Linked DNA regions of Oryctolagus cuniculus. The protein of the gene in region 1 binds, or shares a complex with, the protein of each later gene. Links are inferred from orthologs where the notes say so. Each region holds a gene or a part of one and is shown on either strand. Other genes may lie near its edges.

Region 1 (8,045 bases):
ATTGACTTGGGGTATGGAAATTTAGAAATCTATGCATAGTTTGTTCATAATATGCATTTCCACGAACTTTTTGAAGTACCCTTCTATTTTAAGAATCAGAAACAGAGGCCGCTCTTGTGGCACAGTGGATAAAGCCACTGCTTACAATGCTGGCATCCCATATGGCTGCCAGTTCGAGTCCTGGCAGCTCCACTTCCGATCCATGTGCCTGGGAAAGCAGCTGAGAATGGCCCAAGTGCTTGGGCCCCAAACCCACATGGGAAACCTGGGTGGAGTTCCAGGCTTCTGGTTTCAGCCTGGACCAGCACTGGCTGTTGTAGCCACTTGGAGAGTAAACCAGGTCTCAAACCGGTGCCTATGTGGGATGCCAGCCCTGCAGGCGGTGGCTTTACCTGCTATGCCACCGCTGGCCCCTCTCTTTTCTTTCCAATAAATAAACAAATTAAAAAAAATTCCTAAGCCTCCAATTCCCTGCCATCCATGATCCAGTCCCTACATATCAATCTTGCTTCGTTTCCTGCCATCTACCAGAACACCTGTTCAGTTTTCAGCACCCCTCCCACTACCAGAAGTAGTTCTGGGCACAATTAATCTCCTTTCTGCCTCCTCAACCACTGTATGTGTGCATTCTTAATCATACGTGTAACCCCTGGCATTTCCAGTATCCCATATGGTTACCTTGGGGGCAAGGTACTGCAACAGAACAGGTACTCAATGGTTACTGAATGAACAACACAATAAATGGTTAATTTTGCAAAACTTGAATACAGGGGCTGGTGCTGTGGTGTAAAGGGTTAAGATACCTCCTACCATGCCAGCATCCCACATGGGTGCTAAGTCCCAGCTGCTCCACTGGGGATCCAGCTCCCTGCTAATGCAGTTGAGAAGCAATGAAAGATGGCCCAAGTTCTTGGGCCCCTGCACCCATGTGGGCAACCCATATGAAGCTCCTGGCTGTGGCCTGGCTGGACCCCAGCCATTGCAGCCATTTGGGAAGTGAACCAGCATATGGAGGATTCTCTATGTCTCTCTCCCTCTTTCTAACTCTTGCCTTTCAAATAAATAAATAAATCTTTTAAAAAAAACTTGAATATAATCTTTCTTAACTGTATGGCAAGCAAACACTTTTCAATGTTTGTTACTCCTGATTTTGTATTCAGGATTAAGGAAAGACAGAAAAAATGTCTTTCCTCCCCTTATATTTTCACTACACAGTTTTGTATCAGGACCAGAGTAGGCTGACATGATCTCATTGGTACCTGTTAGGAGTGATTAGAGACCAGGTGTGAATCAGCTGTAAAGGTAAGACTCTCAGGCACCTGTGGCCCTGACCTGAGTAAAACCTGTATTGTGCACACTGCCTCATATGGCTGCCTCAAGAAATGGGTATCATTTCAGCCATGGACAGTTTGCCCTGCAGGCAATACAGCAGTGGAGAAAACGGGCAGGCTCTACCTTAACCAAGTGTATTAGTCAGCTTTTCATAACTATAAGTATATACCCAAGACAGCTTAACTTTATAAAGAAAAGAGATTTACTTTGGCTTATAACTCTGGAGGGTCACAGTCTATGATCATGCAGGCCCTGTTGGTTCAGCCCCTAGTGATGGCCTTCTTGCTGGCTGAGTCCCAAGGTAGCACAGGGCATCGCATGGCAAGAGAGAAAGGAAGTAAACTACTCTGTGTCTCTATTCTCATAAAGCCATCAGGATTTAGTCATGGAGGCTCCATCTCAAATGACCTCATGCAGTGTAATCGTTTCCCAAAAGCCTCACCTGGAAAAACCATAATGGTACTGTTTCCACCCACTCAGAACCATTAGCATAAGTCTTTCAGGACTTGGAGCTGGCATCATGGCCTTGTTAAGTCACTGCCTGCAGCATCAGCATCCCATATGGGTGCCTGTTCCAGTCCCAGCTGCTCTACCTGCAGTCTAGCTCCCTGCTAATGCTCCTGAGAAAGCAGCCAAGGATAGTCTGAGTGCTTATGCCCCTGCCACCAACATGGGAGGCCCAGATGGAGTTCCAGCCTCCTGGCTTCAGCCTGGCCCAACCCCAGCCATTGAGACCATCTGGGGAGTCAATCAGCAGATGGAAGAGCTCTCTCTGATTCTCCCTGTCTCACTGTAAAAAAAAAAATTTAAAAAATAAATAAATCCTTTTAAAAACAAATAAATACATCATTAAAAAAATCCTTTCAGGACTAAACTCCTGAGTGAAGAGAGATAAATATTCAAACTATAGCACCATGTGATCCATGCTCACTTCATTTGTAATAAGACATATCAACATCACAAATCCCCTAGTATGATATAGTTAGAAGGGCACATCATTTCTGCATCATTTTTTGCCAAACATTCATAACCTCAGTCCAACAATGAGAAATCATCAGACAAACCTATCTGAGGAAGGTTCTACAAAAAAATGAACTGTACTTTGCAAGAGTTAGAAGTCAAGAAAGACTGAGAAGCTGCCACAAGACTGAAGAAGAGAAAGGAGGCATTGCAATTATATTGCAATATGTGATCTTAGGTTTAATTCTGAATTCTGGAACAGAAAATTGTCTACAGCTAATAGTATTGCATCATTCTGATTTTGATAATTATACTATTGTTATATAAAAAGCTTAAGAGTATCTGGATAAAAGATATAAAAGAACACTACTTGGGGCTGGCACTGTGGTGCAGTGGGTTAACGCCCTGGCCTGAAGTGCCGGCATCCCATATGAGCACCGGTTCGAGACCTGGCTGCTCCACTTCCTGTGTAGCTCTCTGGTATGGCCCGGGAAAGCAGTAGAAGATGGCCCAAGTCCTTGGGTCCCTGCACCCACGTGGGAGACTGGGAAGAGGCTCCTGGCTCCTGGCTTCGGATCGGCACAGCTCTGGCCATTGTGGCCATCTGGGGAGTGAACAATTGGATGGAAGACCTCTCTCTCTCTCTCTCTCTCTCTCTCTCTCTGCCTCTCCTCTCTCTGTGTAACTCTGACTTTCAAATAAATAAATCTTTTTTTAAAAAAAAAGAACAGTATTACTTCGCGACATGTAAGTCTAAAAGTATTGCTGAATAAAGATTTTTTAAAAATTTATTGCTCTGTTTTGAAAGTTACTGTAGCTGTTCCTTTGGGAGTTCAGGGCCCATCCCAAGATGCCCAGGGTTTCTAAACTGGAAACATAGCCATGAGATTGTTAGAATAATGGAATACCTGTTTTCAAGACCATTCTCTAAAACAAGAAGAAACGAACTCCTGGGAAGAAGGAATCTACCTTCTACCGCTACCGCCTCTTGGCGGAACTACAGTTCCCGGTATACTTGGCGCAGGCGCATTCCTGTGAAATTCAGACGCGCTACAATAACTTCCTACGGCTAGTTGTTTGGTTTCGTCGGCCGACGCCGCAATGCTTTTTGGGAAATGTAGTTCTTGCGCTTGTCTGACTGCCGCTAGCGAATTGAACCCAAACTAAACTTCCCAGCAAGCAGCGCACCAGCCTGGGAACTGGGGCAAGATGGCAGACGCCGAAGATGGTGTTTTGCAGCCGACTGCACCTTCTACTGCCCCAATTTCATTCGCCTTTACTCGTACGTCCTCTCGGAGGCGGCTGGTGGCCCTAAGTGATGGCGCAGAGTCCGCCCCAGAGGAGAAGGATTTCTTGAAGACCGTGGAAGGGAGGCAGCTACAAAGGTGAAGCGCCGGGTCTTTCGCCCCTTGTAAATCGGTGCCGTGGGTGCGAGCGGGAGGACTCGAGTAGTTTGCTTTGATGACAGTGGCCTGGAAAGCCTGAACCACGGCCTCAGGAAATCCGTGGAGGAGAGAAGGCAGGAGCTTGTGGGAGAAGTAGGGAAGTTGCTTTTCATGGCCGTGTGGACTGAGAAGATGTATAAGGATACTTCAGAAAGTTCGTGGGAAATGCGCATTATTTCAGTATTCATTTCCATGGACTTTTTGAAATGCCCTCACATTCATGACAGGGAATACCTTTATGATGCTGGGACACTCTGGTGTGTGCGTTCAGATAAGTGGGAAAGAGGGAATAATTACAGGACCCTGTTGTCTCAGCTAAAGTGAATGGGGGCGACTCTAATACGGGGAACGAGATGGAGCTGCAGATTCAGGTTGAGGGAGGCCGCATCAGCATCTTTAGGAAAGAAGAGGCTGAAGTGCCTGAGGGAGGGACTCGCAGAAGAGAAGCAACCGCCTAGGAGGCTGTTCTGGAGCTGGGAAGAGTCTGGCTGCAAATGGTCATCTGTAGTTCTTGGGATGAACAGACGGCCTGGCAATGATTCCTGGAAGATACTGTCATTTAAGGGCTGGAGGGACAATGACGTGCAATCAGAGGCATGGTCCATGGAGCTAGGAGGGGGCTTGGCTCTTGTGTTTCTCTGCATAGGGGGGGTGTAGCTGGAACCCACGGACCCTGCTTCTCTCCTCACCTTACCTTTCTTTGTCCACATCAGTGTGAAGCCCTCAGAGGTCCCCAAGGAACCTGTCATTCCCTTGATTCAGAATGGCTATCACAGGCAGCCCCTGGTCCAGCCCTCTGGGCTATCCACAGACACCAAGACCTTGATGGATGAGGTGCTGTCCCAGGCTGTGAAGGAACTGATTGAGGGTAAGTGGGCCCCCTCTCCCCACCCTGCTCCAGTGAAGAAAGACAAGGAAGAAGGTGGAAGATACATGGGGTGGGACCTCATTGCTCCCTCCCATTCTTCCTTAGAAACCGAGAAGTCCCTGGAAGAAAGAAAGAATGCAAATGCCGACTCCATGCTCACTATCCCCATGATCCAGAAAGGATACACCTCCAACAAGGAAGGGGTAGACAGCGAACACTCAGCTGAAACTGTGAGTTGGCCCCTTACCCCCTTGCTCCCTTGGTTTCTCCTTGCCCTGTCTGCCATGCATGCCTTCTTACACACAGCAAAGAAAGTCTGTGTGTACACTGGAGGCCTACTGCCTAGCTCTTCCTCCTTCCAGCCTTTTTGGGAACATTAACACATGAATCCAGATATTGGAATATGAAGTTGGATCCTAGGATTGTCTGAATGGGGTGAGAGGCAGAGGGAAGAGGAAATATAATAGCCATGAGGGTGGACACTGCCTGGAGTGTTTGACAAACACCAAGGAGACCAACGCGGCTGGACTGGAATTAGTAAGAGAAGTCAGGTGGCAGTGGAGGGGGTGCGGCGAGACCAGGCAGGGCTTTGTGGGTCATGATGAGAACTTTGGCTTTTACCCTGAATGAAATGATAGCCATGGGTGGGCCCTAGGCAGAGAAAGGATGCGACTTATGATTCAACAGAATCTACTGTGAACACAACAGACTAGTAAGTGAAGGTAGAAGCAGGGAGCCCAGCAGTCTAGACCAGAGATGGTAAGGACTCAGATCCAAGTGGCGTGAGAGAAGGCGAGGTAGGGTTTAGCGAGAGAGGCAAGAGCAGGGTGAGTATTCCTAATGGTAGCAGCTGCCCGAGCAGGCCATGGCAGGAAGGCTGTGTGGTGTGTCTGTTAGTGAGACAACTTGTGTGTCTGGAATGAGTGAATGAAAGGATTGAAGGAGTAACGACGGGAAGCGACCACAGGAAAGGGTAGCGGCAGGGCCATGGAAGTAAGCAAGTCTGTCCATATCTTGGACTCGACTTCTCACCTGTTCATTCATAAGTATTTTGCACTGCTTCCTCAGGGCCTACTTCTCCTATGGCCACAGAGCATCGACCATCCTGGCTTTAACTGGGGTGATTAGAAGTGAACTCATCCACCTTCATTTGTGCTCTGGTGTCTTTCATTAAAAAACAAACAAAGACCCTCCATTTACTCTTCATCCTGTTCCAGCTCTGGCCTTGTTTCTCATTTTCCCTCTGACAAGCCCCCTCCAGCAGCCTTCCACCTGTCAATTGATCACACTTCCATAGTCCTTCCTCTCCCTCAGCTCCAAACCTTGCCGTCATCTTTGCCCCTCCCTCTCTCTGTCATACCCCCACGTATGATCTGTCAACGCCGTCTTTGCCTTTTTTCTAAATGCATCCAGAATTTCACTTCTCATCACCACCAGCACCGCACATCTGGACGACTGCAGTGACTTTCTCGCTGGCCCCTCATGTGACCTCCACCTGCCTGCAGGTTGTCTGCCTCCTGCACCCAGCTCTCCTGATTGACCCCTTACCCATGCTCCTCTGCCCCCATGTCCCTGTTCCAGTCATGTTGATTTTCATAATACTCTTCACACACACCGAGTTTTGTTTGGCCTCAGAGCCTTTGCTCTTACTGTCCTCTCTGCTCACAACACTCTTTCCTTCTCATCTCCTCATGGCTCCCCCTGTCATCTCCTGGTCTCTGTGTCAGTGTCAACTCTAGCAATCCCTCTGCATCCTCATGTCCCACGTGGGAGTGCCTGAGTTCCAAACCCAGCTCTGTCTCCTGATTCCAGAGCTTTCTGCTCAGGTGCACCCCGGAAGGCTGTGGTGATGGCCCAAGTAGTTGGGTAGTTGGGTTCTTGCCTATCAAGTGGGTTGATTTCCTGGCTCCTGGCTTCAGCCCAGCCTAGTTGCAGCTGGGAGCTCTCATACTCTTTCTCTCTCTCTCTCTCTCTCTCTCTCTGTGTGTGTGTGCATGTGCACGCGCGCGTCTGCCTCTCAGATGCACATACTCACACGCATAGAAAGCCAGTGTTTGCAAAATCTGACGCTCCTTCCTCTTCCTGAACCCATTAGGTACCAAAAGAAGCTGATTATGAGGCAGTCTCTGTGGAGGCCTATGGACTGGCCATGCTGCGGGGTATGGGCTGGAAACCTGGTGATGGCATTGGACGCACTTTCAGTCAGTGAGTTTTGGGCTAAGGGTGACGGGGTGGACGGATGGAGCTGTGAACAAGCGCCCCCCCCCGCCCCCTGCCGCCACCACCCCATGGTGACTGCCAACCCAGAACCCTTCAGGCAGGGAGAGAGGATACATTATTCCCCTAATTCAGTAGCCTCTTCCACTCCTGTTTCCAATTCCTCATTTGAAAAGTGGGGGTAACAGGATGGACTTCACAGGCCTCTCGTGAGAGTTTGATGAGATGATACCCATAAAGCACATTGAATAGGCCCCCACCCCAAGTAAGCACAGGCTAAGTATCTGCTTTTATCACACGGACTTACAATCCCTTCTCCACAATTGGAAACTCCAATGAATTTCGAAAAGCAGACAATTTTTCACAAACCATGTGGCAGCCGAACATGATCTGCATTGGCATTGAGCGTTCTTATAGCCTGTTTCTCCTGTCTGGCCTGACCGGGCATATGATTTCTGCTGTGGAAATAGAAGGTTACAAGGAAATGCTTGGTTATGAGGGCCTGCCTCAGATGCCACCGTAGATACTGTATAATATGTAGTGTATGCAGCATGGTGTTAAGTTGAAACAAATGAAGTTCCATTTCTGTAGGTCCAAAACAATCCGAAGTGAGAGATTGGAAAGGGCATTCTTGAACATTCGATGGGGTAGGATTTAGCAGGGGAGAGAGGAAGCCACTGAAGGTGCTTGTATCCCGTCCCCAGTAAATCCATATTCCTTCACGCAGAATAGTGAAGCCCCGTGTCAACTCATTGAGGCCCAAGGGGTTAGGGCTGGGCGCCAACCTGGCTGAGATGAAGGCCTTGACCTCCACCAGTTCCAGCTGCCTTCCAAGAACAAATGTGGACCAAGATCAGGATGACGGGCAGGATACGACAAGGCAGCCCGAAGGGCTGAAGACGGGGACAGCTGTGACGGTCGTTTCTGGCCATTACCGAGGCCGCTACGGGAAGGTAAGGAGCCAGGGTGTCCCTGGAGACCAAGGAAGATGGATTTGAGGGTCGGAGGCAGGAAGCATCGGGTTTGGGGTAAAAGGGCTGGAAGTCCAGGTCTTTTAGGCCTGCCTGGCACACTGCTTCACTAGGTAACACGGCAGGGCCACTTGCTAGGTTTTTCTGAGCTTCAGGTGCCAATGAAAAGGGAGCAGGGCAGGTGTTTGGTGCAGTAATTAAGACGCCACTTGGCATGCCCATATGGAAGTGCCTGGGTTTGAGGCTTGGCTC
Region 2 (7,440 bases), on another chromosome or scaffold:
GTATGCAAAATCAATGTCTGTCACATATTTAAGATTACACAGCATAAGAACAACACTTTTCCCATCAAGCATTCTTTGTAAGTTGTCTTAATGTAAGATTTTATACTAGAATTAATTCAGGGGGAACTCAAGGAGGTAGTGAAAAAGACATGGTTCAGAATAAAGATAGAGTATTTCCTGATGTCTGTCTGTATTGAATATCTGCAGCTCTGTAAATGAAAGCATTTTTTAAACACTGCATATGCTATTCTACTTTAAGTTTTATGTAAACAGTATCTGGAATCTGTAGTAGACTGCTCATCCTGCTATCACCAAATACCAGGCTGGATGGCTTCAACAGTAGGGTTTGTTTCTCATGGTTCTGAGGCTGAGAAGATCAAGCAGTGGTTCGCGGTCAGGTCTGTTTTTCTGGCTTGCAGATGACTGCCTTCTCTGACATCCTCACAGTGGAGAAGGGAAAGAGAAGTCTGGAATCCCTTATTTTTATAAGGACGCAAGCATTATTGGACTAGGGGCCCATCCTTATGACATTGTTTTAACCTTTATTACCTCCTCACGGACCAAAATATAAGTGACATTGTGGGCTAGGAGCTCAGTGTATGAATTTGGGGGTTACACAATTCAGCTCACAGAAGAATATATTCTAAATCATGCACAATAGATCTCGCGGCACAAAATGCACACCACAATTGAAAAATCACAACAGGAAAAGCAACATAAAAAGTGTTAGAAAAAGATACATTAGGAATAGGTCAGTGATTTCTTAACTACCAACAAATCTTAGAAGAACAATGAGGTAATGTCATAGTTAAGATAGAAAGAACTGTGTGTTCAAGTGAAAACTAAAATTTGTGTTCATTATTAACTGCTGGTACCTGTATCATGTTCTTTGAATGAATGAACATCAAAAGCTCTTAGAATTTAGAAGTTTTTGAAAACTTCATATTTCTGTTAATGGGGTAGAATGTCTGGAGTTTCCTTTCTTCTCTGAGTTACTGTGTGAGTCTTCAGAAAAATACTTTATGAATTGTTTGCTTTAATTTCCAGATGATAATGGCCTTAGGAAATAGGAAATGATTATGAAAAAATTTAGATGTCAAGTTAGCCTATTTATATTTACCAAAGTAAAATGACTCATAGTTTTAGAGCCTCTGTCTAGTAGGAAGCATTCCTTTATTCTAGTATTTGGTGTAACAGAATAGCTTTTTTTACAATTCCTTTCTGATTAATTTTTTGCTTTTTTATTTTCATATACTACAATTATTTTGTTAAATTTTTATGTTAGGTAATTTAAAATACAGTATATAGAGTAATGATTCATTGAATTCAGATCTCTTTGAGAATTAACTTATTAAGGAAAAATAACTTCATTTATGACAAGCAGTGATTACATTCATGGCTACATTATACATAATGCAAAATCAGGTCTGGATGGAAATTCTGTGTACTCAATCTTAGCCAAAAGGCCTAGAACCATTGGATATTCTGTAAACAAAGTGGCTTATGTATGTGTTAAGTAACCCTATCATGCAAGATAACCATCTTAGAAAGGCTTGCTCCTGCCCTTTCGGAAACTAGCAGATTGGACCAATGCCAGTTCAGAGAAGATTCAGCTTAGGGCTTCAGTGAAGTCACAGTGAAATCATTTAACATAATCAGAATAAATTCCTTTAATTAAAAAATGAGAAGAAAGCAATTGTTTTACGACATTTATAATGAGATGATGACTATTACCTGAAGACTCTGCAATGACTCAACATTGTTTTCTTGAAGAAAAAAAAGATTTTAAAAGCTTGGATGGTTTTGAGGGATAATAATAGGGAAGTGAATCTTAGAAATCTACTCCCAAATGAATACCCTTCCCCTGCATGTTAGTAGACAGCTTTCCACAAAATATGCTGATCTGTGGCTGAGTATGTCTAGAATATACTTATAGGTTAGTGATTTCTAGTTTAAGTGCATTAAAAGTATAAATATTAGACTTGATTACACTTAAAAGTCAGTTAAATTAAACTTATCATTTTTGTTAGTATTTTGAGATTTTGTTAGTATTTTGAGATCTTACTGGTCAGGTAAATAATCAATTGAATTTGAAATATCTTATAACTGAGAACATTCTCTAAATATTTTTTGTACCTCAGGATGAATTTCACTCTCGGTTGCGTTTTAATAGGAGAGGACTGGTTGCCATGGCAAATGCTGGTCCTCATGATAATGGCAGTCAATTTTTCTTTACTTTGGGTCGAGCAGATGAACTTAATAATAAACACACCATCTTTGGAAAGGTTAGTGTCTACTTATCTTAAATTTACAGTTTGGTCTTTGGTTTTATGTTATTCGTTAATCTGTGATATATATATATATATGATTAACTTATCTAAGAGCTTCCTTTATAAAAGTATTTCTGGAATATTTAGTTTATATATTATATATATATGTGTGTGTATATATAGATAGATAGATAGATATAGATTTTATTTTTTTAATTTGAGAGACAGAGTTACAGACAGATAAAGGGAAAGACAGAGAGAAAGGTCTTCCATCCGCTGGTTCACTTTCCCAATGGTTGCAACAGTCTGCTCTAAGCCGATCCAAAGCCAGAAGCCAGGAGTTTTTTCTGGGTCCTCAATGTGGGTGCAGGGGTCCAATCACTTGGACCATCTTCCACTGCTTTCCCAGGCCATAATAGCAGAGAGCTGCATCAGAAGAAGAGCAGCTGGACACAGCTGCTTTCTTTAAAGCTATGGTCTTTCTTTAAAGCTATGGTAATGGTATTAGTTACTATGCCATTCAGCCAATATTGTTCTTACAGTTTTAGAAAGACCCTTAGGTAATTCCATTGAGCACTTTAAAGTTTATCTTGCTAAGGATGAATTCCCTCACCTTTAAAGTGGAAGTTGTGCTGACACTGACATACAGGAGATGCAAGTGCCTATTTAATCCCATTTGCATTCATTGTCATAGCAGGGAGTGCTGTTTCTATAGAATTTTCAACAGTTCTCTTTAATGATGGATTTTTTTCCTCATTCATCTCTCTTCTCAAATGTATTCCTATATGAGTATATTTGAAGTCTTAGTTTTAGGCATATGAGACATCACTAGTGTATCAGCCCCCTCTGCTGGTCCAGTAAAAATTGTTTCTCCCGGATCCTTGGTAAAACTGGATTTTGTGATGATGAAAGGGAAAAAAACAACTTGGTACAATTGGAAAATCTGTTGTATTTATAAAATTTTGGAAATGCTGAATGAAAATAACATTAAAATCATGAAAAATCAATGTAATTGCTCCATACTTAACAACATGGGTTAGGGTATCTGTACAGGCACGTTCTTTTGAACCACTCCTAAGCAGGTTGTATGTTATTCATAGATTTCCTCTTTTCCTCCATTATTTTTAAAATATAAGAGTGTATAAAAAGTGGGATTTAAGTAGCCATTTTCTACCATTTTTTACAATTGATGTAACCGACACACTAGAGACAACATATAGCATATTAGAAGCTGGAAAAGCAATCACTGTTGGCTTTAACACTTCTTTGAGATTCAATTTCTTCATTTGCATAAGGAGATAATGATAGTTCCTAGTTGAAGGATATTTATGAGTTTTAAATGAGGAAATATCTACAAAGCACTTACGTTATTATTGATATTATTTGTTTTTTTTCTGTGCTAGATTCTAAATTTGTTTTTGATGTTTGAATGAAAAGTTATTATTCAGTTAGAAGTTGTTTGGCATTGTATTTTTATTTTAGTAAAAACTGACGCTAACTATATTTTGGACATTTCCCAAAAAACTTATTGCGGGGTAGAACTCCATCTATTGCTTTTCCCTTGAGATGAAGCTGCTTTATTTGTATTACTTAAAACATATGCTGTTAGGTAATACTATGAAATTCCCTATTAATTATTTTAAAAATCTTTTCAAATATTCCTTTTAATTGAAAAATTGAATACAATAATTTGAAATTACATTTTATACTTTTATTTGATAGGTTACAGGGGATACAGTGTATAACATGTTGCGACTGACAGAAGTAGATATTGATGATGATGAAAGACCACGGAACCCACACAAAATAAAAAGTTCTGAGGTAGGGAATATAATTATTATGAGATATAGCACTTAACTTGTTATTTAAGAGGGATTGGTTATTAGTATTTTTAAACTATTAGATGAAGAGTTTTTACCAAATTAACCTCACAACTCAGATTTTATCTCTATTTATGCTCAAGTTCTGATGAAGAATATTTTAAATTAAAGGTTTAGAATTCAAAGATGAAACTTTAGCTGAAAATCCAGTGATTAAAAAGCTTAACTCTGAATAGAAACTTAGAGGAATTAGCCTGAAGAAATGACTTCATAGGTAATTGAAGAGTGACTGTTCATTGCGTCAGAAAGATTCTTATGAAGGTCAAAACACTTCACTTTGTTACTTTACGTATCATTTAAGTTTTCTTAAGTATTTTTTCCTTTTGTAAATGGAAATAAAATACAGTATCACTTACTTAATAGATAAAGGATTATTAGGAGAATCCAATGAGGCGACATAAGTGATGTATATATATATATATCACTATACTAATAACATTTATGTGGGAAGAAAACTACAGACACCGATGTCAGTGACAGTAAATATTGGTTTTCCTCTTTTGTGAAATTAAAACAATGAAATAATGTTTTTAAACTATTTCTTTTCATAGGTTTTGTTTAATCCATTTGATGACATCATTCCAAGGGAAATTAAAAAGCCAAAAAAAGAGAAACCAGAGGAGGAAGTAAAGAAACTGAAACCTAAAGGCACAAAGTAATCATAGTAGAAAGATTTTTCTTCAATTTGAAAAGCAACTCTATTTCACTTGGTTTATTTTATTTCTCTTTATAATAATTATTTTCTAGAAAGGGAAAGACTAGTTTGAATGAAGAAGATGTGGTTATTGTCAGGGTGTTATTTTTCCTAAAGATGAAATTATGCCATCTCATATGTCTATATGAAACCTATGTTAATAAATAAATATTTTATCCTCATTCAGTTATACAAATGAATTGAAAAACTCTAGTTTGGCTTTTTAAAAATTAATACATATAGTCACTCAGTATGAAGTATTTGGAAAGTAGAGAAAAGTATAAAGAATATTTTTAAAGACTGTTACTTCCATCCCTTATTTTTGGTGCTATTAAAATAATATTTTAATAAACATTTTAAAACATAAAATTTTCATTTAATATTCTAGATTATTTGCTTAAGGTAGTCTGCAAAACAATAAGAACTTTTAAAATGAATTTCAGTATTTTGTGATAAGAATCTTTACATTATTACTACTATCTATATTAGTAAAATAGTAAGAGTTGGAGTTCAGTTTTCTCTTTACTGAATTGTAGCATCCTTATTAGGGATTTTATTGTATTTATAAATGTTAGAGTCAGACAATTCTATATATAATCCTGACCAACACAGTTAATGAGAAGCAAAGTTTATTTTCCTGAAATTCATTGCCTTATCTTACAAAAGGAAGATTCTAATAAGTACAACACCTGATTGTCTTGAAGATTAACTCATAGGGGCTATGTGGAAACATCAAATAGTGTAGATATTCAATACATATTAGTTTATTTCCTGGATATTCTATCAGACATCAGCTAGATACTTTAATAAACAGTTGATGCTTCATGGCAAAATAACTTATTATTTAAGTAAAGCTTATGTATTTGATTTCCTTTTATTTCTTGATTCATTCATTTTGACTAATTTATCTGTGGATGAAAAGTCACTGTCACTATATTCTTATGTGGCATTCATCAGTTTGATTTATCTTGACAGTAAGCTCAAAGTTAGTTTTTTTGGTGTGTTTTCTTTTCATCCACAGAAAGTATATTAGGGATGTTTGGTAGCCATTGCTTGCATCTAGGTTTTGGGAAAAAATTTGTTTCCAAATCTTTAATTTTTCTAATATTCGAGAGCAAATTTTAATAATCTGTTGTTTATATTATATGAGATTTACCCTAGTTTGAAGGATCAGTGGAGACAATTTTTTTCTTACCACTGACTACTTTCATTTTAAAGTTTATTGCTGGTATTTTTTTTTGTCTGACAGTTTTGTGTACCTTATTAATTTTAAAATATTGACATATTTTGCCAAATTCTAGATTAATTGCTCTCCATTTTTAGTGTTCTCAGTTGTTTGCCAGAAATCTCCATTTTACTACCAATTTTGATAATTACACAAGTTTGATTATTTTTGTCATGCTTTAGGTATATTTAATGGTAATGCTCAGGATGGGTTTTTAGTCATTAGTTTATAATAATGCATGAAACGTCAGTGGTCTAAGGTAAAGGCTTAACATTATCCTGAAAATATAGGATACTCATGCATCATACTAAGTAATACTGTCTTTTTAAAACATTGTATTCTGTTTTGTTGCTTTGGAAAATAGGGTACTTACAAATTTCATTTAACTTTTCCTAATTTTATTTTATTTTATTTTTTTAAACTAGAAATTTTAGTTTACTTTCATTTGGAGAAGAAGCTGAGGAAGAAGAGGAAGAAGTAAATCGAGTCAGTCAGGTAATCGCGAATTAAACCTCTTTTCTGAGTTATCTCTCCTGCTGTACTGAACACCATGTTTCACATGGTACACATCCAGTAATGTTCATTGAGTTGATTTGTGTGATGGTTTGCAGTTAGTAATATTTGCAACTTCTGAGATATTTGCTCTCAAAATTATCTAGAATTTCTGTAAATAATTTATTAATTTTGTTAAATATAAAAATTATTTTTAAAATATGGCATTTTTCTGTTACTTAGAAATATAATTTTTTGAGTAGTTGAACTTACTCAGATCTTAATTGCTATTTGTTTAATTGATTTGCTAGATGATAATTATGATTATTTTTGTCATTATTATTAATATAGACTAAAACCCTTATATTCATCTAAATGTTATTTATATATATTTTGTTTCATTTCTTCTCATTATAACCTTTGAGATGGATGTTATTATTCTTATTCTACCTGTGAAAAAATTCAAATATAGATAAGTTACAATTTACTCAAAGTCACATAGCTAGTAAGCAGCTATAACTGGGAACTGAACTCAAATACATGGCCTCATAGACTTAGACCAAAAAGTGTGGTTTTCCCCTTTTCACTTTCATCACAATACTCAGTATAGAAACACAGTGTCATGTCATTGTTTAGAGCAGTGATTCTGGTATGTATCATCATCTAAGACGATCATCTTCAAGGATTTTTATTCCCAAGGTTCTAATATGTCTTTTTTTTCTTGAAATTTAGTGAACACTGAAACCCAGAGGATTAGATTCAGTCTTTGTTGTGATAATTAAAGCAATAACCATCCTTATCTTAGTTGTTTAATACAGTCATCTATTTCTCTTTTTTAAATTTTATTTAATATATACAAATTTCGTATATTTCGTATAT
Region 3 (7,950 bases), on another chromosome or scaffold:
CCTTCACCTAACATGGGAAAACAAAATTTTTACTCCAGCCGAATCTTCTCCACAGACAAGTTCCAAATCCTATGCTCAGCTGGCTACAGGAAACCTCTCAGTAGGTATTCCAAAGACCAAGTTTAAGGAAGGCCAAACTGGAACTCTTCCTCTTCCTATTTCAAAGCAGCTCTTCCTCTAAAATGTTCCCTCTAGAGCTTCCCAGATGGCAATTTCCTTCTCTTCTCTCAGTCACCAAATCCTACTGACGCTACCTCCTCAGTTCACAGACAAAATAAATCTGTACCTGTTTTTCTTCTGATCTCTCTGACACTATATACACTCACAGGCGGTTAGGGGAAATTTTCATTTAGAGAAGATCCCATAATGAGACCACCTTAGTTTCATTTTAGAAGGCAGCCAAGTGTCTTTTACCTATCTTTTTTTTTTTTTTTTTTCAAGAGAGAAACAGCTCCAGAGCAACAGGACTGAACTTCCCTCAGCAACCCCCACGTCTCATTCCTTAAGCAAATGTATCACATTTTCATGATAACAAAGATGAAACAAAACTTCACATTTCAAACCTATACCCAAGTCCTCACCACTCTACTAAATGCTTGGTAGTAAAATAAAGAAATAGCTCTAGGGCTTCCAGTCACCCACTCAACACTTTCCTTCTTCATTTGCTCAAGCTGCATTTGTGCAGAAGAGTCTCTCTTTCAGAGGTTATAACAACTGAAAAAGTCTGTTATAGGAAAAGACCAAAAAACGATACGGTTAGGGCCACAGTTCATATTTTCATTAAATGGCTCAGAAAAGTACTTACAGAAAAAATGAGGAAGAGTGATGCTAATAGAAAGAGAAGTACAACCATGCTCTTTTCACTAAAGATGGGCCAGTGTACAGGAGGATGATATATATTAAACAGCACACAAGGTAAACAGAACTGGCAGGTCAAAGTTCCTATTCTCAGGTACGGAAGAAAAGTGTTAAGTGCTGTAGCTATGAAAGGTTTCCAAAAAGTTCACAGAAAATAAGCATATTACGGGAAAAAAAACAACTATGCATGGATTTCACAAAATATTTTGCAGCAAAACATTATTGGTCTCATCCATTTGTTCATCTCCAAACGCCTGTAATGGTTTGGAGGCTGGAGCCAGGAGTTCAGTCAAGGTCTCCTACATAGATGGAAGGAACCCAACTAACTTCTGTCATTACTGTTGTCTCCTAGTGTCCACATTAGAAAGCAGCTGAAATCAGGAGCCAGAGCCAGGCACTGAACCCAGGCAGTCCAGATTCGAAACTTGGGCATCCTAACCAATGTCTTAACCATCAGGCCAAGTGCTCACCTCTAAATTTATCTTGTAATTACATTTTCCATGAAGCTGTTGAATGCTGTATCATAAACACCGTACTACAGGAAAAGATGAAGTACAACTAAGTGGATCTGCGATGTACAGAAAGAAGTTGGTACTGAAACTCAGTGTTAAAGGACCAGTAGAAATTACCATATGGGAAGGTGGAAAAGGTCATTTTGGAAATGAGCTCAGCATGTGTAAATATTCAAAGACAAGACAACAGAGAATTCTAGCTTGTATGAGAAGTGCACAGCATGCACAAGGAAAACTGAAAAGTAATGAAAGGGAACATGAGAGACCCATAAAGCTAAAGCATGAAAGACCTTTCATGAATATATTGGATCCCTAGGGGTCTGGGTCACTGCTTTACATTCAGAACCTAGGACAGCATTACCACTTAACAAATCACAACTCTAAAATCAAAAGGGGAAGAGTGTGGACTCTGGATAATTATCCCTAGCTTTTCCTACACAGACTTCTCCATCGCACTACTTGACAACTTCCTTATGAAGAAATGCCTTGTTCCACCTATAATTCCTATTTCTTTTGGGACCACCAAGCTGTTTGTTGCCAACTGCAGCAAGACAGCACTGTCACGTGCCTTTGCATATTTGTTTTTGCTCCATGTTAACCCAGAAAGCAGTTTGTATAAACTTCCCTATTATTGAGTTCCTTCCCAGAAATTACAAGAGAAAAACTGACCCTAAAGGTACAGTTCAATTTATAAAAACATGCCTAATTATGGAGTGTGCTATATGTCTTCACCATACAATCATACCACTGTTGTCTGTCCCCCTCCCCCAAAATCTGTTCCTTTTCAGGTCACTGAATATATGGGCTGGATACATTCTTAACAGACAGCACAGCTCCAAGAGGGGCCTTTCTGATCATTCTGAGAGCCATTTAGTCAACCACATTCTGGTGTAAAGAATCTTTGGAGGTGGTGGCCTCTACAGCAAATTTATCAAGTAGCGAACAAACTGCACTCCATTCCAGCACGGCCACTCCTGTCACCATGGTTGCAATAAAGCTGTCCTGACAGACTCATTCAGGCAAGGACCACAGATGTTTTCAGTGGAAGTGCTGTCTAGTATGACCCATTTATGAGTTAGGCTCAAAGGTAGGTTAAACATGAGCTGCCCACAGTCCCACTCTCTCTTTAGCCAGCTATTCTTCAATTACAGGAGCTCTTGATGTGTCCCCAGGCCTAAGCAGCCCATAGTCCCTTTCTGGTGTCTGCTCACTGGGAAGTCTTGCTAGCCTGGCTACAGTAGCAAAGGTCTGCTTTAATGTACTGCTTCTTCTCCTGAAGTTCTCTTTTTAAAGAAAATGCTTTGAGAGTGTACTTTGTTGAAAGCCTCGAAATGTCTCTTTTCAATGTTCACTTGAGAAATGCTTGCAGTAGGAAACCAGCAGGCCTTATTGTCCCATTACCCTCCAATGGCAGAACTGTCAGACTTTAACAGAAAGGGAAATTCAACAAGGAAGCCCTCCAAAACATAGGTGGAATCATATATATATATATTACCAATAGCCCCTTTTTTCTTACTTAGAATAGCTCTAGGATAGTCATGACTAAGTTAGGGATAAACCAGGTAGAGCAAAATTCAGTCTACATACAAGATGGCAATAAATAGCAACTACCGTTCAAGTTAAGGCATAGTATAGGCACATAAAGGGTACTACAGACACATAAAGTGCCACTGTCTCCTTTGTTGAAGTGATGTCAAATACAAACCACTGTAGGTCATTTGGCAATGCAAAATTATGAGATAATCTCTAACAATTCAGCAAATGAGAAAACTAACAAAGAAAGGTGTTTTATAAAAGTAGTTAAGTAGTCTAGGAAGCATCAGAATTGCAAAAGTGAGTAAGCCAAACTACCCAAAGCAGGGAAGGATGTGGTGAAATAATAATGATGGGAAACTGGTTGGCCACGAATCAAATAATTTGGAACAAAGAGGGCAGGCAACCTGATTTGGGGAACCACAGCATATCTCTAAGGCATTAGCTTTTTTATGGTCTGGTAAAAAACATACAGATGGGTCCCATGCCCCAGTTTTTGATTCAACAATTATTACATGACTAACAAGTTCCAAGGAGATACCGGTGCTGCCGACTTGGAAAACCACATTTTAGGAACCACTAAGCCAGGGTAATAGAAAAAGCTTTTTGGCCTCTAAAGTACCAGTAAAAGAATCTCAGAACTCCAATGAGTTAGGAAAGATTCCACAAAAGTGACACGAGCACTTAAAAGTGGCAACATTCAGAAGCAAAGAACAAGCACTAAGGAACAGAGAAAACTCATTAACTCTATCATATATTAACAATGTTAAAACACCGGAGGCCAGCCCGGGAGCACACTGCCGGACATGCAATGCCTTCAGACTCAACCAGTGAGCCAGGCAGTTATTATTACAACTATTATTACCTTTAGACAAGGACTCTGAGACTAAAGATGTTAGTACACTTGCCCCAAGTGATAAATCTAATAATCACTGAAGCAAGACTGCAATCTCTGGCTTGCCAGTCCATCACCCAGCACCCACACAAGTCATTTCCTCCTCCTATAGACAACTGCCTGCAGCAACGCTTCCAAAACCGCACTTTTAACGCTAATCCTAAGTCTGCCCTTCCACAGGATAACTGATGTTAACTCCTGTGTTCCTAAATAAATCTAAATGCAGATAGGGAAGAGGGAGGCTAACTGATCTTTTTTAAGACCAACTTTGTTCGTTTATCTGCTATTTCTAGTCTGTTGATATCGCATAACACAAAGGAAACTCATCACATTTAAATCACCCAACTCCTACACCCAGAATAGCCTTTTCCCAAATTTCTCATTCTCACTCCCCTCAAAGCACGGAGGATTAAGTAAATACAGGTAAAGACGCTATTTCAGTTAGTCCAAGCAAAATTAACTATCATATCACCATTACATTGAAGTGTATTGTAGGACTCCAGAGCTCAGCAGAGAGTGACGAACCGGAGGACCAAGTTAAGGAGTTGTCAATCTTATTGGAAGTGGTTCAACTAACGGCAGGACGAAAGATGATAGATGAAGACAATGGAAAAGGAGGGGTTCCCAGGACTAAACATCTGTAAGTATCAGTAAATGGCAGGGCAAATACATGAAAAAGAAACCACTAGTGAAATTTTACAAAGAGAGTCACAGGGATAGTACTCCGCCGAGAGGCTTTAAAGTCAGTTAGCTATCTCTTAAATGAACTATAGTTCATTAATCCTATTCCCGAGTCCCTGGGACCCGGGCACTAGGTAGGGGCCTGGGCAAGCCCCCTAACTCGAGAGGTTCGAAGTGACCCGCGCCCAAAACACTGCACACGGCGGGAGGAAGAACCAGCTCGGATGCAGTCACCCAGCAACTGAGACACGGCCAAGGTACGGCGCAGGAACCTCATGAGCCTGAGGTCCGTCCGCGCAGGCGGAGAGCCAGCTCACGGCTGCCCACTCTCCACCTGACGGGGCGACTCGGCCCAACCCGCTCGCTTAGCCCAACCTCGCGGGCCCGCGCGTGGCGGGAGGACGGCAACGCGCTCCCGGGGCCGCCCACAGCCGGACCCGGCGGCATACTCCCCCCGCCCACAGACCTCCTCACTATCCCTCCCGGTCCAACAACCCGCGACCCCCCACTGCAGTTGCCTCCCCGGGACGACTCGACCGAGTTCGATAATTACCTAGAGCTCCACCGCGGCGCCATTACACCGGATGCACGTCACTTCCCCTTCCCGGGCACCGGCAAGAGGAGGAAGGCGGAGCGTGAAGTACGTAAAAACCGGACGCTCATTTGGGTTTGACGCGCTTTGCCTATTAGGTTATCTTAAACACCACATCACAACGCCAGATTGAAAGCAGTGCATCTAATCATACTGTCTCCTTACCAACACGGCAACGAAAAGCAAGTAGACCCGAACTACAAAGACCAGCATCCTCCCTCTCGTCAGACGGAAATGACTAACCGCAATTGTAGTTTTAGCGCGAGAAAGCCCCAGTGGACGATGGGAATTGTAGTTCTTGGATATAAGCATCTGCGACTGCCTCCAGGCTGCTCACAGAATACCTGAGAGTAATTAGGGTTTGATAAGATTAATTATAATCCAAAACTGTTTCTCTGCGGTTGGCAGAAAAGTAGTCCTCTGTGGTCACGTTTCCGTGAAAATATTAAAAAACAGAAATCCTCTCAGACATTTTGGTTTGACCAAGAGCATATTAAGCAAAATGTTACTAAATGATTAAGTGCCTACTAAGTTCCAAGAGAATATTAGCCCATTAATAGACTGAGAGAAGCTAATTCTGTGAAGACGATGATGTCTCTCTTTGGGCTAAGATACCAGGTGACAAGACACTGTCGAGATAAAGAGATTCCGCAGCTGAGTTAGAAACTGTCTTATACAGAGTTCAGAGGTAGGGCTTCAATCAAACAATTTCCTTGAACTTTCGTTTTTGCAATCACAAAACCCAGAAGTCCAAGTAATTGTTAACTGTTTGGGGAGTTCTCTTGCTTTTTTAAACCAGGACTGGTTTCTGCAAATACTTCATTACAATTTTAGGTTATTTGTGCTTCTAACTCTTTCCTAGTTGCAGAGATTAAAGGCATTAAAAAACAAAATGGAGCTGGGCTACTTATGCTTAAACGATGGATTTATTCATGAATCATTGACTTCGAGTAAGTTACTTCACATTCTGTGTCCATTTCCTGATTTGTAAGGAGTAAAAGCAGTACCCACCTATATTCTGTTTTATCAATGATGCAATGCTTGATATACAACTGCAATTGGGCTAATACTTGGTTGAAGTTGCTATAGTCTATAATAATTATCCTAATTCAGTTGATTTCTTTAGATCAGACCGTCAAAATTAATTGGAGCTATGTTGGCATTATCATAAAACCTTGACATTTTTCTGGATATCATTTAAAAAATTTTTTTTTCTATTCTGGGTATCATTAAACTCTACTATTCACATATGACACTGATTTTGATTGCTCTCTTGGCCAAGAGAGAAAGTTCAAAGACTTTTGCTTAGCCTTATCCACTGTTACAGTTTGGATGATAGTTTGTGTGTTCCCCAAAGGTCTGTAGGTTGAGGACTTGATCCTCAAAGTCTTATGTTAACCATTAACAGGTCAATGTTAATGGTTGAAGGATTAAGGGTTGAGGCTTAATCCAATTATGGTGTCTGGAAGGTGGGCTCACTAGGAAGTATTTAGATCATTGGGAGCTTGCCATCAGAAGGTGGTTCTTGTGAGAGAGCTGATTATATAAGCCTCCTTCTACTCAACTGTTCTCTGCTTCCCGTTTCACCATATGTGTGTCCCACACCAGCCTCCAGCCTCATCAAATGCATAAACCAATGGGACTGCCTGATCTTGGACTGTGAGCTGCCAGCACTGTAAGCCAAAATCAGTTTTCTTCCTTCCAAGTAGCCCTTCTCAGGTATGTTAATTGTAGTAACAAGAAGCTGACTAATATACCCACTATGGTAGCTTTTACTTTACAGGTCACAGGAAATATATGGAAATGTACCACCTTTGAAGTATGTCAATCCCAATTTTACACTTGGGACTGCGTAACTGGCTACTAGTTTTGCCTGTGAGCCCAGTGAAGCCATTGTGAAAAAGATGGCTGGCCCTGACTCCAAAACTACAATTCACCTCCTTCCAGCAGGAGAGCCATAATGGTGCTTCCTATCTTTAGGTGTCATTGTTCGCTGCTGCTGTGCGTTTACCAGTTCCCCTTTCCTTGTGTGCCATAATTCAGATAATTGGAAGTGACTCTCTTTGGGGAAGGATCAGAGGAATCATGACTGTGTATACCTGACTTGATATTGCAGGATGTTTCTTTCCAAAACCCAATTAAGTCCCAATTAATGGCTTGAAAACTGGACAGGTAAGAGATTCAGAGTTTTTTGTTGAGTTGACTACCTTTAGCTCATCCATTCTTTTTTTTAATATTTTTATTTATTTTTTTGAAAATCAGAATTACACAGAGAGAGGAGAGGCAGAGACAGAGCGAGAGAGAGGTCTTCCATCTGATGGTTCATTCCCCAATTGGCTGCAATGGCTGGAGCTGCGTCGATCCAAAGCCAAGAGCCAGGAGCTTCTTCCAGGTCTCCCACGTGGGTGCAGGGGCCCAAGGACTCGGACCATCTTCTACTGCTTTCCCAGGCCATAGCAGAGAGCTGGATCAGAAGTGGAACAGCCAGGTATTGAACTGGCACCCATATGGGATGCCGGCGCTTCAGGCCAGACCGTTAACCCACTGCGCCACAGCGCCGGCCCCTCATCCATTCTTCATTCTAATTATGTGTAATTAAGGAACCACTTCATTGGATGCACAGATATTTCTGTCTTAAGAGACACCCTATTCTATTCACCATCTTCATATGTCCTCTTGGTTGCTGCTCTGTGAAGTCCAGCCACTAGGATGACTGTGAACCCCAAGCTTTGGGGATGAAGTGTTGCCTCATATTCTCTTGCTGCAGGGCCCCTGCATTCTCATTGTTGCTAAGGATTCAGTTCTGTGACAGCCTCTCCCAAAGTCAGCCCTGACTTGTGAAGAGCCAAGACTGGACATGTTGGTGATGGTAGTGCTGT
Region 4 (6,925 bases), about 74 Mb from region 1:
AATTTGGCCTTGTATTTGTCTTCAATCTTAGTATTTCCACTCCTTTTTTAAATTGGTCTTTTTTTATTTTCAACCTTTCTATCTTACCTTGTTCTAGATGTGTTTCCTGCCTGGAGTACATTGTTGAATTTTGTTTTATTATGAACAGTCTGAATATTTTTGCATTTTGAGTCAATGATGTCTTACTCTTTTCTCACATAAATAGATATGGGGAGGTTGTTAACATTAATCTCGTGCGGGACAAGAAGACTGGAAAATCCAAAGGTTTCTGCTTCCTCTGCTATGAAGACCAGAGGAGCACGATTCTGGCTGTTGACAATTTTAATGGGATCAAGGTGAGCATGCCTAGTGAACAGAATTTGGCTGGACTCTGTGTGTCTATCCGTACAGGTGCAGGGGCAGTACTGGGCAGCTGGGTGTGTGGCAAGGACTACAGAGGTGTGGAGGCATTCTTCAGAAAGTGATTCAGGAGATGATGCTGTTGGCCCATGGCCCTGTCAAGACCTGTTCCTTTCCCCCGTATGTGAGCAAGCCTTCTCCCCAGGAACATGCCTGCCGCCCATCCCATCCTGCATTTTTCACCTTTCCCTCTTCACCCTCTGCCCTCATCTCTGGTGCACTGGAGAGCAAAGAGACTAGCAAATGTGTTTTTCCATGTGTGCTATGTTGGTGGAGTTGGGCCTCATAGGACACAGCCATGTCTGTCTGTCATGTGTCTCCAGTGCCCTAGCACACTGGGCCCTGGAAATTCTCTGGTGAAAATCTGATGACCAGTTCTACAAAAAACTCATTCTGGGATTTCTCCCTTCTCTCTTTCCTCTCATCTCCCCCATTGTGAGTGAGGCCTGGAGCTGAGAGAAGAGGATGGGACAAGTTAGGTTTATCTGTGCTCCACATGATCCCCACACTCATTTAGCAAAGACCCTTCAGTTGGAGTGAGCATTGTTCAGGCTCAGATGTGACTCCTGCCTTTGAGAATTTGTCACTGGTTGTGCCAGTACGGAGTGGCTGGAGATTATAGAACAGAGTGGAGCAGTGTGCCAGGCTTAATTTTTAAGGGAGCCAGCAGCCAGAGGGAGTTACCATAAAAGGGAGGCTTCTAAAAATGTTTCAGAATGGAGAATAGGATAGTTGATGAAGGTATTCAAGCCCAAAGAACAGAATAAAAATCTGTTCTTGAATTGGAACAATAAAAGTTAAGCTTTTCAAATTTCAAATTAATTCGTCTATGTAATAAGTCTGTATCTGTCAGAAAATAGAATTTTTTTAAAAAAAGATTTACTTATATTTATTTGAGAGGCAGAGTGACATTGAGAGAGAAACACAAGTGTTTCCATCCTCTGATTCACTCCCCAAATGCCCACAACAGCCAGGTCTGGGTCAGGCCACAGCCAAGAGCCCAAATTCCTGGGCCATCATCTGCTGCCTTTCCAGGCTCATTAGCAGGAAGCTGGATCAGGAGCAGAGCAGCTGAGACTCAAACAGGCACTCCAATATGGGATATAGGCATGCCCGGTGGTGGCCTAACCCATTGCACTGCAACTCCTGTCCCAGAATGAATTTTAAGTGAGGAGCAATTTTGTGATTCCCCTGTGGGAGTTGTGATTCACAGCACAGGAATCGATGTAGGCTGATTGTTCTGGTATGGTGAGGGTAGAACAAGGCATGAGAGCTTAAGAAGAAGAAATTGGTCTTTTCTCCATTTCTCTCACCTTTCTACTTGTTGGTCCACTTTTACCTCCTCCTAACGACTGTGCTGAGCTTAAGCTAGACTTCAGGAATTCCTTCTAGCTGCCAGGCTTTTCCAGGACAGCTAATGATACGGTATTACAGAGTGGGGCAGTTGGTTGCTGTCCCTCTGAATTCTCATGGTCCTCTGTGATGCTTGTGCTCCTGGGCAGTGCTTCTCGGCCTTTGTTCACATGAAAGTATTTGTATCTCGCCCTGGGGTACGCCGATGAGAACGCTAGTACAACTGTCCCGGGCCCAGCTGGCTGCCGCTGCCCTAAAGGCTGAATGGGTTACCATCTAGGCACACCTGCAGTGATTCAGACTGGTTGAGTGGGTCTGCTGTGGCGGTTTGCGCCGTAATAGAATTAGAGAGAGGGTAATAGATGGCGTTCAAACAGCTGGACAGTTTGAAATGAAGCCTGCCTTTTTGAGACGCTGCCTGTTTTTCTTAGATCAAAGGAAGAACTATCCGGGTAGATCATGTGGCTAATTATCGGGTTCCTAAAGTCTCAGAAGACATGGACGATGTGACCAGAGAGCTCCAGGCGATGGGCTGTGGTGTTAATACCCCCTCACCGAGTTCATCTGAGGATTCTGAAGAAGAGAAACCCATAAAAAAGCACAAAAAAGGTAAAACATTCAAACCCAAGAGAAACTTGGCAGTCTTAGCATCTGTTCCTCCTAGAGTTCATTGATGGTTGATAATCGGGTCATAAGTATGCGAAGGAGAGGTGGGGGGACCTTATTTTAATTGGGGAAGGGGAGGTGTCAGCAGAAGACTCCTGTTCTGGGTTGAATTGTGTTCCCCAGAATCGACACGTTGAACTCCTCACCCCTAGTCCACTGTGACTGCATCTGGACATGTGGTTTTCAGAGAGAGACTGGAGTGGGAATGGCCGTGCCCAGCAACTTGACGTTGCGGGTGACAGACATCGAAGTTGCTTCCCCGCAGCACTTTCCCAGAAGCACAGGGTGACGGCTTCACGCTGCTGCCCAGCCTATTTTCCTTGCCCATGGGCTCCCCTCCCGGCAGGCAGGCATTGGTAAACTGGTCTACCTTTGCTGGATGTCACGTACACGGAGAGGAAAGACATGGCTTTAGGGAGTTCTATTTCCCTTTTGTTACCGATTGTCGCCCTTCTTCTCCAGACAAAATGGAAAAAAAGAAAAGACGGAAAGAGAAAGAGAAAGAGAAGAGTGACCGGACAGTACTGGTCGAGCAACCATCTCCCTCTTCCTTGCCCAGAAGCAAGACAATAAAGGAAAAGGATGAGCCTGGCCCTAAGACAAGCAGCACCAAGGGCTCCGAGAAGGTGCCGAAGTCGGAGTCCAGGGAAGCACGGAAGCACTACCCTGTCTCCCCTGAGGTCAGAACTGTCCCCCGCGGTGGAGTTGAGGACCTGGCCAGGGAGCTGAAGAAGGAGAAATCCAAGCATGAGCACAGGTCCTCCGACAGGAGAGAGGCCAGAGAAGAAAGGAACAGGGATAGGGACAAAGGACGAAGCTCAGACGCGTGTTCTAGCTGGCACAATGGGCATTCGGATGGGTGGAGCCATCGGAGTAGAAGTCGGAGCCGAGATCGATCTCACAGACAGAAGAAGTCCCGTAGCTCCCGGGAGCGGGAGTCCTCAAATCTCAGTGAGCGTAGGCGTCACTGAAGCCAGTTCAGCCGCTCGGTAGATCTGGAAATGAAATGTGTTTCTAAAATGCAGTCAGATTCAGCTACGCCATTACTTCTCCATATGAAATCTCTAGAGCTGATTTTTAAAAAATCCCTTGAGTAGTGGAGTCCTTGAGAAGGCTGTGGTTTCATTGGCAGATACCCTGCATTTTCTAGTACAATCCATCATCCCTGGAAATATACTTGGAACTTAACAGAGAACGTGTCCTGAATTTTCGTTCATAAATTGGCCATGGGGCCCATAGCCCCCCCAGCTTGAGATGAAATTGCCAGAAAAGGAAAATTACAGACAATTCTAGAGGCCTAGTCTTTGTCTTCAATGTTGAGAACCCAGCATTCTAAGACTTCCAGTTAGCAGGTAGAACTGCAGTGAAGTGTGGTTTAACTAGGTTCAGACAGCTGGAGGTGAATGTGATGGGATTCTTTTTTTTTTAAGTATTAATTTTATTTATTTGAAAGGCAGTGTTACAGAGGAAGGGAGGGAGAGACACAGAGATCTTCCATCTGCTGGTTTACTCCCCAAATGGCCACAACAGCCAGGGCTGGGCCAGGCTGAAGCCAGGAGCCAGGGACTCCATCCAGGTCTCCCACATGGGTTTGGGGACCCAAGTACTCAGGCTATCTTTCACTGCTTTGCTGGGCGCATTTAGCAGAGAACTGGATCGGAAGTGAAGCAGCTGCAGCTCAAAACTGTTGCTCATCTGAGATGCCAGCATCACAGGAGCCAGCTTACCACTGCACTACAACGCCAGTGCCTGATGGGATTCTTAAGAACAACCAGCTCCCTCTCTAAACCCTGTTTGAAAACAGCTTTAAATGTCTTGTCTTTTTCTTTTTTTGGTTGAGATATTTTTCCACATACTTTTTTCCCTTGGAATTCTTTGTATTGATGTGAAATGCAGATAACATAAAGTTAACCAATTCAAAGCAATTCAGTGGCACTTATATTCACCATGTTGTGCAAACACCACCTGTGTCTAGTTTTGAAGCATTCACATTGTCCCCAAATAAAACCTAATACCTATTAAGCAATAACGTGCCATTACCCCTATCCTCCCTGTCCCTGGAAGCCACCCATCTGCTTTCTGTGTCTATGGATTTGCCTGTTTGGGATGCTCCACAGAGCAGGAATCACACAGCAGTGGCGTTTTGTGTCTGGCTTCCTTCACTAAGCATAATGTTTTCTAGGTTCATCCATGTTATAGCATGTATCAGTACTGCACTCTGTTTTAAGGCTCAATAATATCCTGTTGAGAGACCACGCTTTGTTTCTCCATTCCTTGGGACGGACGTTAGGATTGTTTCTACCTTTGGTTAGTCAGCTTCCTGTTTTGTGTGCAGACACGCCAGGCGACCTTCTGTGCTTGGTTTGCTTTTCACGTAGCCGCTCTTGCTCAGGTGGGAACACTGGTAGCTCCATCGCACACCTTTGGTCTGATTGGTAGTTCCTTCTCATTTTGAATCTTAGTTTCTATTATAGCACTCAGCCCCTTATGAATTTGGCAGGAACTGGTTCACAGGCCCTGCTGCAGTCTTTTTTTTTTTTTTTAGTTAAAAAAATTTTTAAACCTTTATTTAGCAAATATAAATTTCCAAAGTACAGCTTATGGATTAGAGTGGCTTTTTTCCCCCTATACTTCCCTCCAACCTGCAACCCTCCCATCTCCCGCTCCCTCTCCCCTTCCATTCACATCAAGATTCATTTTTCAATCTTTATATACAGAAGATTGATTTAGTATATATTAAGTAAAGATTTCAACAGTTTGCACCCACACAGAAACACAAAGTGTAAGTGTACTACTGTTTGAGTATTAGTTATCCTGCTGCAGTCTTAATGTTGAATTTCTTTTTTTTAAGTTCTCATTTTTAAAAAAGATTTTATTTGAAATGCAGTCACACACAGAGAGAAGGAGATACAGAGAAGGGTATCCGCCATCTGCTGGCCACAACAGCCAGGGTTGGGCCAGGCCAAAGCTCAGAGCTTCATCTGGGTCTCCCATGGGGGTTTAGAGTCCCAAGCAATTGGGCCATCTGCTGCTTTCCCAGGCACATTAGCAGGGAGCTGGATCAGGAGTAACCAGGACTCAAACCAGCACCCTTATGAGGTGCTGGTGCTATAGGTGGCAGCTTAAGCTGCTATGCCACAAGGCTGGCCCCTTAACGTTGAATTTCTGACCCTGCCAATGGGAGGGCCAGTGCTTTAACAGTGAGCACGCTTTCTTAATGTTACCCTGAGTGGTAGTTTGGGTCCTTGATTACAGGTACAGGGCTTTTTTTTTCCCCAGGGATAGAACACCTGAAAAGGAAAATGGAGCAGGAGATGGAGGAGTCTGGGAAAGCTGTCAGACTGTGGTGCATGTCTGACCTCTGGAGAAGCAAGGAAGGAAAGAAGGTGAGTAAAGAAAGTCTTACAGGGCAGGTCTCAGAAGTTCTAGCAAAACTGATGTTGAGTCCTCGAGCCAGAGCCACTTGTCAGAGGAGGCCTGTTTAGTCAGTTTGGTAATCAGGAGTCTGCTGTGGGCCTCTGCTTCAGCCATTGTGGCTACTTTGCTCAAGTCCCAGTTCCTGGTAGCCAGTTGTGAAGGCTCATGCAATTGACTAGGTCATTTTGTGTGGTTTTTCTGTATATGGCAAGGAGCTGGATCATACAGTTGTGGGCACTGGTTAGGCAAGTATGACATTCACAAAACAGGAGCTGACACTGCAGTCCACAGGCAGAATTTTTTCAGGGAAACCATAGCTTGCTCTTAAGGCCTTCAACTGATTGGATGAGGCCCACCCAGGTCATCAAGGATGATCTTTCATTTATTTTAAAGATTTATTTATTTGAATGTCAGAGTTAAAAAAAAGAGAGGGAGAGACTGGGAGAAACATCTCCCATCTGCTGGTTCATTCCCTAGATGGCTGCAATGGTTAGCACTGTGCCAGGCCAAACCAGGAGCCAGGAGCTTCATCCAGGTCTCTCACATAGGTGGTGGCAGGGGCTGAAGCACTTTGGCCATCTTCTGATTTCCCAGGCACGTTAGCAGGGAGATGGATTCGAAGTAGAGTAGCAGGAACATGAACTGACACCCATATGGGATACTGGTGTCATAGGTATTGGCTTTACCCTCTGTGACAACACTGGCCCCATAATTTCTTCTTAAAAAAACTGTAGGGGCGGGGCTGGTGCTGTGGCATAGCAGGAAAAGCCACCGCCTATAGTGCTGGCATCCCATATGGGCATCAGTTTGAGTCCCGGCTGCTCCACTTCCCATCCAGCTCTCTGCTGTGGCCTGGGAAGGCAGCGGAAACACTTGGGCCACTGCATCTGTGTAGGAGACCTGGAAGAAGCTCCTGGCTCCTGGCTTTGGATTGGTGCAGCTCTGACCGTTGGGACCAACTGGGGAGTAAACCAGCAGATGGAAGACCTCTCCCCCCAACCCTGCCTCTCTGTGTAACTGACTTTGAAATAAATAAATCTTTTTTTTTTTTTTTTGACAGGCAGAGTGGACAGTGAGAGAGAGAGACAGA

What was found.
Region 2: GPKOW (region 1) and CWC27 share a complex: the UniProt entries of both Homo sapiens proteins name them as parts of the minor spliceosome. The link is inferred for Oryctolagus cuniculus from reciprocal best matches to the Homo sapiens genes GPKOW and CWC27.
Region 3: GPKOW (region 1) and CWC22 share a complex: the UniProt entries of both Homo sapiens proteins name them as parts of the minor spliceosome. The link is inferred for Oryctolagus cuniculus from reciprocal best matches to the Homo sapiens genes GPKOW and CWC22.
Region 4: GPKOW (region 1) and RBMX2 share a complex: the UniProt entries of both Homo sapiens proteins name them as parts of the minor spliceosome. The link is inferred for Oryctolagus cuniculus from reciprocal best matches to the Homo sapiens genes GPKOW and RBMX2.

What each region holds. Positions count from the first base shown.
Region 1 is NC_091453.1:34,250,804-34,258,848, reverse strand, and holds the start of GPKOW (G-patch domain and KOW motifs-containing protein), read left to right. Parts: upstream 1-3,467; 5' UTR 3,468-3,501; coding exon 3,502-3,677; intron 3,678-4,450; coding exon 4,451-4,605; intron 4,606-4,710; coding exon 4,711-4,835; intron 4,836-6,700; coding exon 6,701-6,810; intron 6,811-7,549; coding exon 7,550-7,775; intron 7,776-8,045. UniProt on the Homo sapiens protein: RNA-binding protein involved in pre-mRNA splicing. As a component of the minor spliceosome, involved in the splicing of U12-type introns in pre-mRNAs.
Region 2 is NC_091445.1:85,775,265-85,782,704, forward strand, and holds part of CWC27 (spliceosome-associated protein CWC27 homolog), read left to right. Parts: intron 1-2,141; coding exon 2,142-2,285; coding exon of another isoform or gene 2,286-2,289; intron 2,290-3,992; coding exon 3,993-4,091; intron 4,092-4,701; coding exon 4,702-4,805; intron 4,806-6,494; coding exon 6,495-6,564; intron 6,565-7,440. UniProt on the Homo sapiens protein: As part of the spliceosome, plays a role in pre-mRNA splicing. Probable inactive PPIase with no peptidyl-prolyl cis-trans isomerase activity. As a component of the minor spliceosome, involved in the splicing of U12-type introns in pre-mRNAs.
Region 3 is NC_091434.1:61,054,752-61,062,701, reverse strand, and holds the start of CWC22 (pre-mRNA-splicing factor CWC22 homolog), read right to left. Parts: upstream 5,295-7,950; 5' UTR 5,033-5,294; exon of another isoform or gene 421-5,032; intron 1-420. UniProt on the Homo sapiens protein: Required for pre-mRNA splicing as component of the spliceosome. As a component of the minor spliceosome, involved in the splicing of U12-type introns in pre-mRNAs. Promotes exon-junction complex (EJC) assembly.
Region 4 is NC_091453.1:108,062,873-108,069,797, forward strand, and holds the end of RBMX2 (RNA-binding motif protein, X-linked 2), read left to right. Parts: intron 1-205; coding exon 206-335; intron 336-2,183; coding exon 2,184-2,361; intron 2,362-2,880; coding exon 2,881-3,389; 3' UTR 3,390-4,444; downstream 4,445-6,925. UniProt on the Homo sapiens protein: Involved in pre-mRNA splicing as component of the activated spliceosome. As a component of the minor spliceosome, involved in the splicing of U12-type introns in pre-mRNAs.